Sus scrofa: one gene and its partners. The protein of the gene in region 1 purifies or fractionates together with the protein of each later gene. This does not show direct contact. Links are inferred from orthologs where the notes say so. Each region holds a gene or a part of one and is shown in the gene's direction. Other genes may lie near its edges. The genes, in order: RHOD, DAAM1, PLXNB2 and DIAPH2.

Evidence for each region.
Region 2: the proteins of RHOD (region 1) and DAAM1 purify together in Homo sapiens (affinity purification with mass spectrometry; 3 studies listed by BioGRID and IntAct, counting the BioPlex papers as one, with this or other methods). This does not show direct contact. The link is inferred for Sus scrofa from reciprocal best matches to the Homo sapiens genes RHOD and DAAM1.
Region 3: the proteins of RHOD (region 1) and PLXNB2 purify together in Homo sapiens (affinity purification with mass spectrometry; 3 studies listed by BioGRID and IntAct, counting the BioPlex papers as one, with this or other methods). This does not show direct contact. The link is inferred for Sus scrofa from reciprocal best matches to the Homo sapiens genes RHOD and PLXNB2.
Region 4: the proteins of RHOD (region 1) and DIAPH2 purify together in Homo sapiens (co-immunoprecipitation; 3 studies listed by BioGRID and IntAct, with this or other methods). This does not show direct contact. The link is inferred for Sus scrofa from reciprocal best matches to the Homo sapiens genes RHOD and DIAPH2.

The regions. Positions count from the first base shown.
Region 1 is NC_010444.4:5,401,193-5,405,780, reverse strand, and holds the start of RHOD (rho-related GTP-binding protein RhoD), read left to right. Parts: upstream 1-1,566; 5' UTR 1,567-1,640; coding exon 1,641-1,751; intron 1,752-4,588. UniProt on the Homo sapiens protein: Involved in endosome dynamics. May coordinate membrane transport with the function of the cytoskeleton. Involved in the internalization and trafficking of activated tyrosine kinase receptors such as PDGFRB.
Region 2 is NC_010443.5:188,463,959-188,467,886, forward strand, and holds part of DAAM1 (disheveled-associated activator of morphogenesis 1), read left to right. Parts: intron 1-98; coding exon 99-432; intron 433-1,346; coding exon 1,347-1,457; intron 1,458-1,574; coding exon 1,575-1,678; intron 1,679-2,792; coding exon 2,793-2,859; intron 2,860-3,066; coding exon 3,067-3,184; intron 3,185-3,620; coding exon 3,621-3,759; intron 3,760-3,928. UniProt on the Homo sapiens protein: Binds to disheveled (Dvl) and Rho, and mediates Wnt-induced Dvl-Rho complex formation. May play a role as a scaffolding protein to recruit Rho-GDP and Rho-GEF, thereby enhancing Rho-GTP formation. Can direct nucleation and elongation of new actin filaments.
Region 3 is NC_010447.5:388,922-393,438, forward strand, and holds the start of PLXNB2 (plexin-B2), read left to right. Parts: upstream 1-1,425; 5' UTR 1,426-1,576; intron 1,577-4,517.
Region 4 is NC_010461.5:78,601,203-78,605,571, forward strand, and holds the start of DIAPH2 (protein diaphanous homolog 2), read left to right. Parts: upstream 1-1,182; 5' UTR 1,183-1,542; coding exon 1,543-1,677; intron 1,678-4,369. UniProt on the Homo sapiens protein: Could be involved in oogenesis. Involved in the regulation of endosome dynamics.

The DNA.
Region 1 (4,588 bases):
GTTTGGGCCACAGGTGAGGTTCAAAGGGGCCGAGGATGGTTTTTCACCTTTGTGGTTTGAACGCTGTGAGGAACGATGCCATGGCTCATGGGGGGAGGGGGTGAACCCCAAAGACCTTTGCCCTCTGTTTCTTTGAGCTTCAGTGAAAACACTCCGGGATCTGGGGAGGCCCTTGGGCCTGTTTCAAAATACTTTATTTTTTCGCTTTTCAGGGCCGCGCCCACAGCACATGGAGGGTCCCAGGCTAGGGGTCGAATCGGAGCCTACACCACAGCCACAGCAACGCCAGATCCAAGCTGCATCTGCAACCTACACCTCAGGTCATGGCAATGCCGGATCCTTAACCCACTGATCGAGGCCGGGGATCCAACCCGCAACCTCATGGTTCCTAGTTGGATCATTTCTGCTGCTCCACGACGGGAACTCCTAAAATAGATATTTCAATCCAGGCTGCTAACAGGGGTAGGAGGTCAGGTGGTAGTAAGTCCCCAGGGCAGTTCTGCATTTATTCCTGGCATCTAGATGGTTCCACCATCAAGGCCCTGTTTAACCCTCAGCCTCACCCTAACCCAACCTCAGCCATCATGGCAGGAAAGATCTGCGCCCTGCCCCTCTGCACAGCCCCCTCATGGCCCCATACCTTGCACATGTTTCTCCCTCCATTTGGAACCCTCTTCCCTTCCCCCATCTCACCACGTCTCACATTTTCCTCAAGACTCTGGGCCCTCTTCTCAGAAGGGTTTCCTGACCACCTTCAGCCCTGGCGAGGAGCCCGGCTTCCCGACTCCCGTCTGCTGCCTGTCCCCACCACCACCACCGGGGCCCTTACCACACGGGCATCCAGCCTGTCTCCCATTCTAGGCCGTGGGAGAGACCCCGGTGGGAGACTTGGACTTCAATGGTTCAGGGTCCCCAGGTCCTGGGCACAGAGCCACCAGTGTTGGTTAAGTCCTAAGAATCACTCACACATGGCATCGCCAGCTGTGAGCCAGACCTGCTCTAAGCCCTGCACACATGGAAGGTTCCATGGCTTTCCCCAGATCATGCCCCGGCAGAGGTGAGACCCACCTGTAGTGAGACTTCCTGGTGTGGCTGGGGGCGGGTGGCAGTGCCAGTGACTAACCCATACTGGTGTGCCCTCCCCGCATGCCCTGGAACACCACGGGGACTGTGCTGTGCTCTGTCTCCAGAGCTGCGGAGCAGATGCACCTTCATTCATTCAGTCAGTCAATCAAAAATCACTAGCTCCGCTGGCTGCTCCACCTAGACTGGGCCGTAGGGCCCCAGCGCGGCCTGCGGAGCTAGTAGACCAGCAGGGCTGATCCGCGCTTCCCTGCTCCCCGGGAAGTGGGCCCAGAGCCCCCTCTTCCCCTTCCACAGCATCGCTGCCCGGCTACTTTCCTCCCATCAGATGGGCGTGCGCCGGGTCCCCCGCCGTGGCCTCCGCGCTGGCACACAGCAGGGGCGGTAGGGGCTCTGGGGCTCTGGGGCTGCCCGGGGCCTGGGACCCGAGGGGCCGGGCCTCTCACCTGGGCCGCCCGCCGCCGCCCGCACTTCCTCCCGCCGCCCCGCCCCTTCCACATTCCTGCCCCGCCGGCCCCAGCTCGCCGCTCTCGGCGCCGGCCCTCCGCTGCCCCGCGATGAAGGCGGCCCGGGCCGAGCGCGAGGAGGTCAAGGTGGTCCTGGTGGGCGACGGCGGCTGCGGGAAGACGTCGCTGCTGATGGTCTTCGCCGAAGGCGCCTTCCCCGAGGTGAGCGGCAGCCCCTCGGGGCGCAGCGGGGCGCGCGGCCTGGGCGCATCCTTCCCCCCCACCCCACCCCCCGACGGGCTCGGGTCCTGCCTCCCAGCGGAGCGTGGGCTCCAAGGCCATTCTTGCTCTGCCATCGGGAGTGAAGGCCTCCGTGAGATCGTCTGTCAAGTGCCAAGAACGGCACTGCCAGGGGGGGTGTCCCAGGGACGGACCTAGGCCACCTGGGGACTCAGGGAGCCCTTGGTGGCCCAGCACGGCTAAGAGGGACGGCCGGCTCTGGAGCCAGGCCGCCTGGCTTCAGATCATGACTCTGCCACTTAAAGCTGTGTGACCTGCGGCCCGCCCCTTACCCTCTCTGTGCCTGTTTCCTTAAACCGTGCCACAGGAGTAATGATGGCGCCCACCTCCCAGGGTCGCTGTGCGGAATGGGTTCTTATAGGTCAGAGGCCAGCTCTGAGCTGCAACAGAAAGGACTCACTGAGAGGCAGCACAAGTTTTTCTGGAGAAACATCACTTCTCCCAACTCCTGCCCCGGCCGTGGGTGTCCCTTGGGCTCAGCCTTGGAGGGGAAGAGCACATGGGCTCGCCAGGCAGCTGGGTTGGCACCTCAGCCTCTCTAACAAACCCCGGGGGCCTCGGTACCTCGCTCAGCCTCTGGAGCCTCCCTTTCCTCACTCGACCTCGGGGGGAGGAGCGACCAGAGGGTGGGGGTGAGGTGGAATGAAGGTAAGGCTGAGAGAGCCCCTGGGTACCTGGCACATCCTTGATGCCTGGGCTCTGGATTGTCCTGGGCTGTGGACTGTCAGCCCTTCTCCAGCATGTTCATTGGCTCTCCAGGCAGACTGGCCGGCACCAGGACAGGGGCTGGACCACCCACCACCCACACTGCCTGCCCCCACCCCCTCAGCCCAGTTCTCCTGGGAGTCCCTGGATCTGCTTCCCGTATGACCTCTTCCCCCCCGCTGCCCCCATCCTGGCTCAGCATCCTTCGAACCCCTGGGGTGGTGCAGCGCTGGGGAATTGGATGGAGGAGGCAGGAGAGGCCAGGCCTGGTAACGGTGTCAGCCTTTCTTTCCACTGTGGCAGCATCAAGCCGACTCTTGCTTTGTGGTTTTGGGAGCTGACGTCACGTCCTTTGGCCGGTCACAGATTTTTTTTTTTTAGTTGGGGGAGGGCTGTGTTTCCAGGCCCCCAGATGGTCCCTGTGAGAACCAGCAATTACGGCTTAGTGTGGGGAGCGCCACAGAGAGGCTGGGCCAGCTGGGGCCCAGAAGAGGGGCTGGGAGAGCGGTGCGTCACCACCACTGTTCTGGACTCTCACAGTCAATGGAAAGTATGTGTGTGTGTGTGTGTGTGTGTGTGTGTGTGTGTGTGTGTGTTGAAGGACACTCTGGGCAGCCAGGGGAAAGTAAGGCATGCTTATCACCAGGGTGAACTTGGCCTTGTCTCGGCTCCTCCCCTGTTAGGGAACCCTGACTCCCTAGGACCTGTCTACCTCCAAGCACAAGAGAGACTTTTTTTTGTCTTTTTTTTAGGGCCTCACCTGTGGCATATGGGAGTTCCCAGGTTAGGGGGCAAATCGGATCTGCAGCTTCTTGCCCACGCCGCAGCCATAGCAATTCAGGATTCGAGCCACATCTGCAACCCACACCACCGCTTGTGGCAATGTTGGATCCTTAACCCACTGAGCGAGGCCAGGGATCAAACCCACATCCTCATGAATACTAGTCAGGAGCTTAACTCACTGAGCCACACGGGAAACTCTGAGAGACCTCTTCACTTAAAAGAAACACAAAGGCATGGAGTTCCCATCGTGGTGCAGCAAAAAGGAATCCGACTAGGAACCATGAGGTTGCAGGTTCGATCCCTGGCCTCGCTCAGTGGGCTAAGGCTACAGCATTGCCATGAGCTGTGGTATAGGTTGCAGACACAGCTCAGATCTAGCGTGGCTGTGGCTGTGGCGTAGGCTGGCAGCTGTAGCTCCCATTAGATCCCTAGCCTGGGAACCTCCATATGCTGCAGGCGCGGCCCTAAAAAGCAAAATAAATAAATAAATAAATAAAGTGGTCTAACTCTAAGCGTTTAAAAAAACAAACAAACAAAAAAACCCACAAGGGCATGGAGTTCCCGTCGTGGCGCAGTGGAAATGAATCCGACTAGGAATCATGAGGTTGCAGGTCTGATTCCTGGCCTTGCTCAGTGGGTTAAGCATCTAGCATTGCTGTGGCTGTGGTGTAGGCCGGCAGCTATAGCTCTGATTTGACCCCTAGCCTGGGAATCTCCATATGCCTCAAGTGCGGCCCTAAAAAGCAAAAAAAAAAAAAAAAAAGAAGAAGAAGAAGAAAGAAACACAAGAGCAGAGGTCCTGCTGTGGCTTAGCGGGTTATGAACACAGCGTCGTCTCTGTGAGGATGTGGGTTTGAGCCTTGGCCTCTCCCAGTGGATTAAGGATCCGCCATGGCTGCAAACTGCAGTGTAGGTCACAGAGACAGCTCAGATCTGGTGTTGCCGTGGCTGTGGTATAGCCTGCAGCTGCAGCTCTGATTCGACCCCTGGCCCAAGAACTTCCTTATGCCACAGGCATAGCTAGCGAAAGGAAAGAAAAAAACACAAGGGCTGAGAGCTGGAACAACCTTCATCTTCAGGAAAACTGAGGCCAGAGAAGAGAGAGAGAGAGGAGTCTGGCCTCAGGCCACAGGGCCTGGCAGGGGCAGTGCTGGCCTGGAACCCACGTCTTCCCGCCCATGACCAGGACACTCTCTGCAGCCCCCAGTGTCTGCCTGCGGGACCAGCCTTCAGCCCCCGCCCCTGGTCTCCTCCTCCTGAGAGCCCTCCAG
Region 2 (3,928 bases), on another chromosome or scaffold:
CAGAAATTGACACAACATTGTAATTCAACTATAAAAAAATTTTTTTTAATTCCAAAGAGACTTAAGTCTGGTACATTTCATCCTTCTTTTTATGACAGGTTTGTAACCAGATTCATCGACTTGGATGGCCTGTCATGTATTCTCAACTTTTTAAAGACCATGGACTACGAGACCTCGGAGTCTCGAATACATACCTCTCTCATTGGATGTATAAAGGCACTCATGAACAACTCTCAAGGTCGGGCTCACGTCCTGGCTCATTCTGAGAGTATTAATGTAATTGCTCAGAGTCTGAGTACAGAGAACATTAAAACGAAGGTAGCCGTGCTGGAAATCTTGGGCGCTGTGTGCCTGGTTCCCGGGGGCCACAAGAAGGTTCTGCAGGCCATGCTGCACTACCAGAAGTATGCCAGCGAAAGAACCCGTTTTCAGGTGGGTGCTTCCTTCTTCATTCAGGCCTCCCGACAGTGCCTTTTCCTGCCCTGAAGGGGAAACAGAACTTGAGATTTCCCCCTGTGGTGATCATTCACGTCGTGACTTCAAGCATTTCCTTCCTCTTAGGCAGAGAGTAGAATATTCTTCCTGTAGTTAATCAGTCCAGGGTTGTGGATTTACAGTAGTCCCCTCTTACCTGCAGATCTGCTTTCCACAATGCCATTTACCCACAGTCAACTGTGGTGTAAAAATATTAAACAGAAAATTCCAGAAATTTTAAACTGTGCAGCTGGTCTGAATAACATGATGAAATCTCAGGCCATCCTGCTCAGTCCCTCCCAGGATGTGAATCATCCTTTTGTCTAGTGTAGCCACACTGTACACAGCATTCAGCGGTTCATATAGGGAAAACATAGTCTCTGTAGAAGTGTATATAGGGTTCAGTACTATCCATGGTTTCAGGCGTCCACTGGGGATCCTGGGACATACCCCCTGAGGATGAGGGGAGATCACTGTTCTGAATTTAAAAACATAGCCCTGCTTCCTACGCATTATATTATACGCTTTTTGATCCACTAAATGGGCGATCCCTAAAAATTTTATGACTTGCCATTCTTGATTTAGGATCTATATAAACAGTGACAGTATGTCACCATATTTCTACTCAAATATAAAAAGCAAGCAGAATTAACCAAGCACAGTCATTTGTACTTTGTTTAATTGTATATTTGAACATAGATGATGTAAGAATTTTGAAAGCAAAGTTTTTAGGACTAATCTTAAGGGGAAAAGCTAGCTTTCTATGGATCAGTGATTAAACATGAGTTTTTAAAAATTAAGTTCTGAATAAAATGAGTGTAAGGTAAGCAATTATATTCAGCCCTTTGTTTTCACGCTTGCATCCTTGGTAGACGTTAATTAATGACCTGGATAAAAGCACGGGGCGGTATCGAGATGAAGTGAGCCTCAAGACTGCCATCATGTCCTTCATCAATGCAGTGCTAAGCCAAGGCGCAGGAGTGGTAAGAGCCTCCTGTACCTCAATTTAAAATATACATTATTAAAGAATAATTTTAAAAGATTACAGATTATCTAGTCTAAAGAGCCTATATATGTACTCATCACCCTTTTACTTTCAGGAAAGTTTGGACTTTAGACTTCATCTTCGCTATGAATTTCTGATGTTGGGAATTCAACCTGTAATAGATAAATTAAGGGAACATGAAAATTCAACATTAGATAGGTAAGTCAGACTGTTCATGCTTTTGCTGTGTGTATAGAGTCCGTCTGTGAACTACTTGTGACCTAAGGAACTTGAACCAAAATGTTGCCGGCTAATAGATGTTTTTATAGTAAGGCTTCTCTCAATGGAAGAAGCAGCACATTGCTTAGGGAACTTGTGTAGTTTTGACTTTAGACTTGAATCCATATCCTTGTCCTGCCACTTCCTTGCTGTGTATTTTGGTCAAGTTACTCAATTTTTCTGAACTTTACTGGTTTTATTCCTGAAGAAATAATGATGCTGCTGTTTGTTGCTCTCTTTCAGAGCTGTTAAGAAAGTTGACTGTAAACCATGTGGAATCACTGGGCACCTTTGATAGACAATCTCTGAATGTTAATTTCCACTTTCCTGTTCATTTGCTCTTGTCTGCAGTCATTTTACAATTTCTAACATATCCTCCCAGCTCTCAGATCTTGCCTTTTACTACTCTTCCCCCTCATGCACACACTCCACCATGCTCTTCTCCTTGATATTCCATGAACATGTCAAAATACCCTTGCCCCAAGGCCTTTGCACCTATTTCTTCAGCATTAAAAGATCTTCCCAAAGATGTCCAGATGACTTGTTCCCTACAGAGACACCTTTTCCAACCTTGGTGTTCACCTTCCTCACCTCACCTCCCATCATCTCTATTCCCTCTACCCTGATGTATTTATCTTCACAGAACTCATCATCCCTGGTGTCAATATTCAATAAATATTTGAATGAATAAGTGAATGGCATGAACATTTGTTTTGTAATCTTTAGTTGAGTGGTCAGTCAAGTTAGTTATATCGGGTTTTCATTCTATAGATTCTGGGAGTAGAACCTGGATTTGATTATTTTGGGATTTGATAAACCTTTATGCCTTGGCCTCTATGTGCTAGGCATCCTAGGCTTTTTGTCTCTTGTAGTGATCTCATTTCATTTAGATGATAGAACATGGTTAAGGGAAGGCATTCAGATTTTGTTGTCTTATTTCTTTTAGAAGTATCTGAAAATTTAGGAAAGGCCATAGTATTAATGTCCTGATTCCCATGTGCCTGTGTTTGTAGGATGTTCTACTTTTAATAGCTTTTCTTTAACTGACTTTCAGGCATTTAGATTTTTTTGAAATGCTCCGAAATGAAGATGAACTAGAATTTGCCAAAAGATTTGAACTGGTATGTATGCTTACAATTATTTTGATTTGACTCAGCAGTTCATAGATTTCCCTGTTGTAATGTGTGTCATAGCGTTGACATATAACCAGAGCAAAATCAAATTTCTGTTTTGCTAAGTGGCTAGATTGCCTTGGATTTGTTTACCTTACCTTGTAGAAATTGATGAACTTGGATGTTGGACTTGGATTTCTTTTTCATATGAAACAGGTTCACATAGACACAAAAAGTGCTACTCAGATGTTTGAGCTGACCAGGAAGAGGCTGACCCACAGTGAAGCTTACCCTCACTTCATGTCCATCCTGCACCACTGCCTCCAAATGCCTTGTGAGTGTATATGTGACTTACCTGAGTGTCTGTGAACATTTAGACATCAGCCAAAGGCCTCTGTCTTCTGAAGAGTGTGGACTAGGTTGGGTGCACACCAGGCATTCCCGACCTTGGTTTTGTGACAGCCCAGTGTGTCTCCACACAGCTTAAGGGGTGTTGTGAAGTTCTCAAAATGACATGAATTATAACTCACTTTGATTTTAAAAATAAATATATGCCTTACAGTACATTTAGAAAGGGGTAGAAAATGCCCCTCAATCATATAAATGATCATTGCCTGTCAGAATTTCAGAAATTTTGGGAAGGGGTGGTGCAGATGTTGCAAACATCTCTCTGGTTCTGTGGCTCTGGTGGATGACCACTGTTGAAAAATGCTCATCCAAGTTTAGAAACCACTTGAAGTATTTCCACCATTCTTTTCTTTTTTTTTTAGACAAGAGAAGTGGCAACACCGTTCAGTACTGGCTACTGCTGGATAGAATTATACAGCAAATAGTTATTCAGAACGACAAAGGTCAAGACCCTGACTCCACGCCTTTGGAAAACTTTAATATTAAGAATGTCGTCCGGATGTAAGTTTCTTCTTATTTGGCAGCCCTTGAGATAATAGTGACAATGTAGGACATTTATTTCAAAATAGCAAGTGGGAGAACTGAAATGTTCTAGAGGTCACCCTTGAGTTCCTATACGTATGCATGTCATATATCTACATAACATCTGGGTTCAAAATGGGTTTCAAGC
Region 3 (4,517 bases), on another chromosome or scaffold:
GGGGGCTAGGTGTGGAGTCCTGCCAACTCCATCTCCCCAGAGACTCCTGCCTTCCCTGCCAGGATCAGGGCGGCTCTGGCTTGGCTGAGCCTCTGTCCCCCCACGGGGCTGGGGTCAGAGAGTGAGGAGGGCAGGGGGGGCAGGTGGGCAGAAGAGGCGGAGCCATCTCCTACCAGAGCCCCTGGGCAGCAGGGCCTGGAGGGGCTGCAACTCCTGGTCTGAGGCCGGGGTGTGAGGGTAGTGGTGTGCGTGGGCCCGGGGTGGGGGTGGGGTGGAGGGCGCCAGTGGGCGGCTGCAGGGACAGGAAGGACAGTCCTCACCCCCCAGCTTCCTGCACTCTATTTAAAGACTCTCTTTTAGGCTGGGATGGTGGCCTTCCCACATCTTTGGTATTAAAATGCCCTGTGACACAATGCTTGTCTTTTAATTTCCTTTTTTGACAAAAGTTGGCATCCCTGTCAGAACTTGGTTATTTGAGGGTCCCCTGTGATGAACGTGGGGTGGGTCTTGGTGTGATTTGCTTCAGGGCCGAAGGGGTGAAGGTTTGGCCGGCTGGGTGGGGGTGGGAGGGTAGCAGGAAGAACCGATGACGGGTGACCCACCATCTCCAGTGGCTTCATCTGGGTTGGAGGCTGAGATAGAGGAAATGGAGCATCTGCAGGGAGGGGAAGGGCTGGGTGGAGAGTGGGTCCCCAAAGATGGGAGGGGGCGTCCCGGTATGGAAGTAGAGGTTAGGGCTGGGGAAGGGTCCCACATCCTTCCTGGGTCCTCTGCTGGAGACTGTGGGTGGGGGGCAGTGGAGCCCCCCCCCTGCTCAAGTCTGAGGGGCTGGGGGCATCAGGACCAGGATGGGTAGGGGCTGGAGTGGCCGGACGGACGTGGGGCAAACTCTAGTCCAGAGCTGGAGCCCTGGGAGAGGCTCATCTCACCACCCACCTGCGAGCACCCGAGAGAGTAACTGGGTCCTGTGCACAGGTCCCCAAAGGCTCACTGGGGGGGGGGGTCCCAGGGAGTAGGAGAGCAGATGGAGGCCAAGGATGTACTTGAGGGGACACAGGGCAGGTGCCCTCTTCCCCTAGGAGGGTGGGAGGCAAGACCCAGCAGCTCCGAGCCCCCCCACAGGGCAAGGGCGTGGCCCGCCTGGCCTGTTCCCCAGTGTGAGGGAAGGGGTGCTGGTGGCCGGCCCCTCTCCGACAGAACTGCAAGGGTGCCTCGGGGACCTCGGTCTGGCCCCCGCTCTCCTCCAGTACCCAGACCGGGGCTCCCCTGGCGCCAACTTGGACCCGAACCAGGCCCGCGAACGCGCCGCGCCCACCGTGGCCAGCGGGCACCAGGGACGCGGGGGGCGCCCCGCCCGTGGGGCCCCTGCTCTCCCTCCGCCCTCCCCCCTCCGCTCTCCCCTCCCCCGCTCCTCCCCTCCCCTCCCCCGCTCCCCGCCGGGGGCGGGGCCGCTGCTCCCGCGCGCTCCGGCCCCTCCTCGGCCACACAAAGGCCCGTCTCCATGGCAGCCGCGCGGGCCGCAGCACAGCGCCGAGCGCGGCCCGGGCGCCATCGAGCCTCGGCGGCGGACGTGCAGGTACGGAGATGCGGTGCGGGGCCCGCGGGGCGGCCGGCTGGGGGGGCGGGTGGCCGGCCGCGCCGCTCCGCCCTGGCCTGGAGCGCTCGGGACGCAGGGGGACTCGGGCCGCTGCCGCCCGGCGGAGGGCGACTCGGGCCTCTGCCGCCGTCTGTGTGTCGGGCCGTCCGGGGCCGGGCCACTCCCGCCCCACGCTCTTCCAGGTGGCGGGCGAGGCCTGCGGAGCCCGAGACAGCGGGCCCGGCGCAGCCAGGGGGCCCCGGCCGGGCGCCGCGGCCCCTCCCGCCGCCCGCGTCCCTCTGGAGCCCCTCGGACCCCTTGGGGCTCCCAGAGCTCCCCCCCTGCTCACGCCCCCGCTCCTCTGGCCTCGGAGATCGGTGCAGGGGGCGGAGATGGTCTCCGTTGTGCCAGAGCTCCAGGCCTGCACCGCCTCCCCACCCCAGCTCTGGTTCCCCGGCGGCGGCCGAGGCGGAGCCGCGGCTTTCTCCCCGGGAAGCTGGGCAGTGGTCGGGCCTCAGCGCCCCGCACCCCCGGGGCCTTGTGAGGAGGGCGGCAGCCAGGACCGCCCTGGGAGCCCCTGGTCCGCACCTGGCAGGCTGCGAGGCGGGTGCGCAGTTCTGGGCTGGGACCGGGCGCAGCCCAGCGCTGGGCAGGTCCCGGGGGTCCCCGCCTGCTTCGCCGCGCAGCCTGCGCCCAGTTGCCAAGGTTTATTGGGGTGCGGTTTGGGTGGACACTCTGGGGCCCAGGAAGTCTCTGCCGGCCGCCTGGGCCCTGCCCCCTCAGGCTCGGGCCCTGCACCTCTGTGTGCCTCCTCCTGCAGGAAGCCCTCCCAGACGGACCCTTCCCACTCCTCTGCGCTCAGCTGTCTGGCAGATTTTGAGGGGAGTCCCTGAGCTCAAGAGCCTCAGCGCTTCCTGCCACGTCACTGGGCTCTTGCCAACAACTTGGAAAAAGAAGGAAGGGGTCTGGCTGGGCTCGGGGCCTGTGGTGGGGGTCAGGCCTGGGGGTGAGGCTCAGCCCCAAAGCTCGTGGAATGTTCTGGGGCTTGGGGACTCTCTGGGCCCATACCTGCCCTGGGGAGCTCCTCCTTCCAGGTCTAAGTTCAGCCCCAGTGCCCCCCTGGGGCAGAGGTGGGGCAGGACCTGTGGAGGTGGGAGAACAAGCCCAGGGGGCTGGGGGCTTTCGGCCTGACCCCGCGTCCAGATGGTATCCTGGCACAGAGGGGAGCATCTGAGGGTTGGACACCTGCGGGGGGTGCTGTGCTCTGAGGTGAGGGTCCCTAGGAGGGTCACCGTGGGCCTGGCCGGGCCCCTTGGGTATTTTTGGTGGTGTGTCAGCTTTGAGGAATTCCCGGAGGAGACTGAGCGCACGCAGATGGTCCCAGCCTCCCACCTCCTCCCTCCCCTTACCTATGGGGGGGCCACCTCCTTCTGAGGAAGGGGGGCTTGAGGTCTGGCTGGGGCTCCTTGCCCCCGGAGGGGAGGGAAGTTAGAGAAAAACAAGGGTTTGGAATGCAAGTCCCCCCCTCCCCCACCGGCCGCCTGCCAAGAAGGAATTATTTTGGATTATCCAGCCGTGTCCAGCCACCCAAGGGGGGAGGCCACAGCCCTGGGAGAGAGATCCGCTTCCGGGGCCGCGCAGAGAGCCTCCGAAGGGAGGGACAGGCAAGTCTGGGCAGCTCTGCCACCTCCGCGGCTGCTCAGACCGGTTGGGGGCAGGGTGGGGGCGATGCGTCACCCTTGGGCTGGAGAACCGCCAGAGGTCGCAGGCAGGCCCTGCTGGGAGGGCCTGGTGCGGGCCCGGGCCCCTCCAGGGGGCGGGGGGGGGCGAGGGTGCGGAGGGAGTCCTGAACCCTGTTCCCTGGGGCCCAGGGCAGCGGCCCAGCCAGGAGCCCCCTTCACCCCAGAGGCCTTAGCACCGTGGCCCCAGGGCCCTTTGAGGCTGCCCTCCAGGGCCCAGGTCATGGACACACCTTGGGCCGGTTACTCACACCGGTGCTTCCCTGGGGTGACGAGCGGGCAGGGCGGGATGGCTGCTTAGGGTGGGTGGGGCACTGGGCTCTCTCACTGGCTGCATCTCAGGCCACCCTCCTGCCTCTTGACTGACCCACAAACCAGCAGGCGACTGATGCACCACGGTTCTCCAAGCCCCTCCGACAGCCCAGCCCTTGTGCCCCCAAACCCCTCCCACGTTTAGATGTGGCACCTGTGAGCCCATCCCATGGCTGAGGAGCTCAAGGCCAGAGATGGGTCCCTTGGGTCCTTTCAAGGAGCTGTCTGGGATGCTGCTTCTGCTGAGTGGGCTCCTGGGGTCCACTTCGCATGTGTGCAGCCGGTGGCCCTGTAGGGACCACGGTGGGAGGCAGAGCTGACAGCTGGGGCCCAGTGCAGGAAACCCAGGGGCCTGGCCCCAGCCCAGGCGAGTGGAGCGGAAGAGATTGGGGTGGAAGGCACGGGCGGGGGCTGGCAGCCTGAGGAGGGGTCCATATGGCGTGTGCCCTTCTCCCCCAGGACAGCTCGTTGCAGGCCCTTGAGCCGTCATGGTGTCCTGTTCCCAGCCTTGAACTCACAGCCTGGGGGTCAGAGCTGGTGAGCACTCTGGGTGTGGGCAGAGGGTGCCCTGGCAGGACAGGCTGTGGCTTCCAGCGCCTCTCCCGTGGTCCCTTTTCTGGTCTGGGCAGGTCCACTCTGCAGTCCTTCTGCAGGAAGTCCTTACACCACGCCTCAGTCCTTCTTGCTGCAGCGACAAGGCCCCCTGTCCTGCCGTGGCTTCCTGGCCTGGGTGGGGGGAATAAGCTTTTCTCCCCTGTGGAGGAGCCTCATGCCCAGAGCCTGCCCTGGACAAGGGTGTGGGTAAGGCTGGGGGCCGGTGAGGGGCGGAGATGAACTGGTCAGCCTGCCTGGACTCGAACCCAGGCCTGGCCAGAAGGAGGGGGCTGCGC
Region 4 (4,369 bases), on another chromosome or scaffold:
CTGTTTGATTAAAAAGAATGTTGATGACAAAGGCCAAGCCAGGATTTAGACTGCTTTCAGATAGCTAACATTCTTTTTATTCTACTTTCCAAGTTAATTGCCTCCTCACCCCTTTAGCCTGGTCAAATTCATCCTAATGCACTCTCAATAAATGTGTTCATAAACAAATTAGTTTCAGCACAGACAAATTTAGGCTGAAGGGGAGAATGGTAAAAGGGTCACGGTCTGAAGATATCTGAATAACAGGCACATGGGCATGTTCATAGATTTGGGACCTAAATTGACTTTTCAGGTAGCTTCTCCAGATTGTACCATGATGGTTCATTCAGGTCTTGCCTGGCCCTGCTAATGTTCTCAATGTGAGCATTATTTTTAAAGAGGTGTGGGCCTCTTCCTGACAACTCTGGTACTAGAGACTAAGAATACCCACAGTGTTTGGTGGTTGCTGTTGCTGCACAAAAACACCTAGCATTTGTCTAGATTTACATTTTCAACAAATGATCTTTGACACACACGATCTTACTCCGCGAAACAACTTTAAACCTGAAGTGTTTCGGAAAACTTAAAAAATAGTACTCAATCCAATTGTTAGCTCTCCATAGGTGCTTTGGCTAGAGAGCCTTACATCCCCTAGGGATTAAGCAGTGGGCGTCAGCTGCCTCTACCCAGCAGCCTGGGAATAAAGGAACGACTGTATTTCTTTGGTCGCAACGCAATCATGGCAACAGAAAGCACCCACTCTTTCCACTTTGACCCGTGCAGTCTGTCTAGGCAATTAATCAGCGCTCCCTGTGGCGGTTTTCCTACGGGACGCGGGTTGCCTTGCCAATCAACCCCTCCCACAGAATGGAGCGCAACCAAACCACCTGGCAAGGCCTCGGTCAGCCAGGGAAGGTGCTCAGGCCTACACGAGTGGAAGCGGACACTAAGAGAGACGGCCCCGTGAAATCCACACGGGAATCCTCTCGGGCCTCAGTGTCCCCATCTCTGAAATGGGCTACACCTTCTCCCTCTCGGCTAGTTCCCTCCCATTTCACATTAGGCCCCTAGGAAGGGAAATCAGTGCTTAACCGCAGCTTAAACTCCCCTCGTTTGGCTGCCTTCGCTGCGCCGGGCATGCTCAGTAGCCCGACCCGCTCGGCAGCGGGAGTAGGAAGTAGCTTTCCGCGTCCGGGCGGCGGACTGCGGGCACTTTGATGAATCACGTGTGTGGAGGCCCTCTTAAAGAGATAGGCACCTACTTTCCCTCCACCCTAAACACCGCCCTGAGGGCGGCGGCGGCGGCGGCGACCGGGATAATAGCAGCCGCTCAGGGGCAGGGCTTGCCCCAGCGCAGAATAGTGGCAACGGCGTGTCGCGTCGGGGGTGCCTGGGAGCCGGGGGCCTCAGGGACGTGAGATCGGCAGCTCCCCAGACAGACCCACTCTCCCTCCCGGAAAGAGGTGCTGCCGAATCTGCGCGGGGCAGCTGGACCGCCCCGAGGGGCTTCCTCAGTGGAGGAGAGGTGGGGTTCCAGGGCACAGGTGACAGGGCCGGAGAAAGATGGAGCAGCTCGGGGCGGCGGCGGCGGCGGGCGCGGGAGGCGGCGGCGAGGAACCCAGTGGGGGCCGAAGCAACAAGCGGAGCGCGGGGAACCGGGCCGCCAACGAAGAGGAAACGAAAAACAAACCAAAATTGGTGAGTGCTCCCGCAGCCCCCGCCGTTCTTGGGGACAGCGAGAGCCCCGGGATCCTCCTGCCGTTGAACACAGGGGGACCCGGGGCCCCCTCCCAAGGGTGACCGCGACCTCGCTGTGCAACTCGGGGAGCCGCGAAAGCAGCGGCCACGCCGAGGCGCGGAGACGGCGTGGGGGCGGAAGAGCACCCCCTTTCCACTTAATCCCTTTCTCCCTCTTGGCAGCCCGAGAGGCAGTGCGGGAAGGAGGAAGGCCCCACCCCAACTTGGGGAGACCCCGTGTACTGGGTAGGGGCTGTTGTTTGTCTAACTTGCGGCCACCAACCTTTTTTGCGAGATTCCACTCCCCTTCCACCCTTGTCAGTTGCTGGGCTTTACCTCTTAACGGTTAGGGTCCGGGCAGGGAAACCTCTCTTAGTCTCAGTACTTGGAAGCCCACCCACAGACTTACAAACAAACAAACAAACAAACAAAAAAACACCCCAGACCAATCAACTAACCAATCCCTCCAAACAATAACAACAAAACCACACAACGTAGGCCCCCAGTCTTTTACTGGACCAGAAATCTAAGAAAGAGCCGCCTACGTGACTTTTTTTTTTACCCCTCCCTTGCCTCTCCATGTGCTCTCCCAAGAAACATTTCTTTGGAAGAGTGGGGGGAGTGTGGGCGTTGGAGGCTGCTGAGGTGCCAACAGCTGTCGTGTGTGTAATAGGCAGAGTCTAAGTACTTGTACTTAGTTGATTGAGAACGCTCCAAAAGCGGCAGGCAGACTGAACAAATCTCCCTGTCCTGAGAGTGTGTGAACCAGTGGGAGCAGTCCATTTCCTGCCACTGACTTCATGTGCAGAGGAATGAAATCTATGGGGCCTGGTATTAGATTGGGAAATACTGGAGTTTTTTTCAGCTCATCAGTAAAAACGGTTCCTCTTTTTTTTTTTTTTTCTTCAGTTTATAGGAAAACAGTTTAATAATAGTGAAACCTAAAAACTGGTGAAATTAATAAAGCATATTAGCTAAAGACTGTTTCTGCCAACCCTTAGCCGATAGAGGCAGACATTTATCAATAAACTTTCTAATTCGGGTAGCATGAAGGCAGATGGTTTTCCTGAACAATTTCAGCTAATACAACTTCAATGTGAAGTTTCTTAGTTGAGGTCTGAAGCACAAGCCACGTGTTGCATATCTAGTTTTCAGTTTTAACCTGCAGCTTGATTCTAAGAAGGAAGGAGGCAGTGACATATAACTAAAGCCCTTATGGCATCTGGCCATTTGGTATGTACCTGTTGTTCTCATGCCTCCTATTTGCCTTTCAATTATGGATTGTCCATATTGGAAAACAGTGATCGAAGTGTTATGGTTATAGGAAATACGAAGTCTTCTGTTATGTGGAGAGGGACCCGGCGGGTAGAATAAAATAACCAGGTCTAACGTCTCATCAAGTCCACCCTAACTTGAGGCAAATTGAGAATTACTTGATGTAATTCTCACTCCCTCCACCCCCCACCCCCAGGTATTTACAAGTGAAGAAATTGAGTCACAAGTTCTTTGTGAATTGTCTTTGCTGGCAGAGGGTTAATGGTGCTCCTATTGTAAAGACTTCGAAGTTTTGTGGGTGTCGCCAGAATTTAATGTGTTTAAAAATTGTGATGTTGTGATTTTGAAATTTATCAATTTGTGGTAGAAAAGTGACCGCGTTTCCTTTTTATTTTCTTTTGGACTCAGTACAAAACTGTGGTTTAAACGGTGAGGAAAAGTTTTAGTGAAAAATTAAAGTGAGCTGATAGTTTCCACAGTTTGATACTTTCAGCAAGAACTTTCCACTTTTAGGATCTATGCGCTTAAGGAAAAAGCACTCATCTCAGGAATAACACCTTGGTTATATTCTTCCCTTCCATTTGGCCATTTGTCCTGTTTCATCTTTTATGCTTTGACAAGGTAACTAGATAGTTATGAGATGGTATCACTTTCAGTGCCTAGCTTGGTATAGCAGAACAAGAGTTTGAATCCAAGAGTTTAATATCAATAGGGACTTTTTTGCTCAAAATAACTTTTAAGCCATACGTTATTTTACAAGCAAGTATGTCAGAGTTAACGAAAACAAATTTAGGAAGACATTTCAGCACATTTTTAAGGAAGGAACGTTGTCTAAATAACAAGACTTGGTAAACTTTTTAAATAAATGCCTTACTCCTTTTGAGTTGTCTTATTGAAGTGGTCTACATGGTCTTCTAAGGCCTTTTAGAGAGGAGTTCATCTGGGCTTCGTAAAATATTGCTAGTAAAATACATATTTACCTAGACAACATTTAATTTTCTGTGTTAATGTTGTTAATCACTGTAGCAGTCCTTAATTATGTTTGTGTAAAGGAGTTGCAGTGGGGGATCATAAAAGAGAGCCATATGGTAGTAGAAATAATTTGTGTAGGTGATTATGGGGGTAAGGGTAAGAGTTCTTAAACTGAAACTGAAAAATTTGAGTGTATATGTAGGTACATTCATTTTTCTGGGCCCCATAGTTTTTATCAGTTTCTCAAAGGAATCTGTCTCCTATAGAAGAATAAGAACTATTGAGTTACCAGAGAGAGAAAAGGAAATGCCAGTTGATTACACTTAAAACTGGGAAGAAGGGGAGGTCACCGACAAGAGAGAAGGGAAATATCGTGGATCACACAGGTGGTTGATGTTGAAGATAG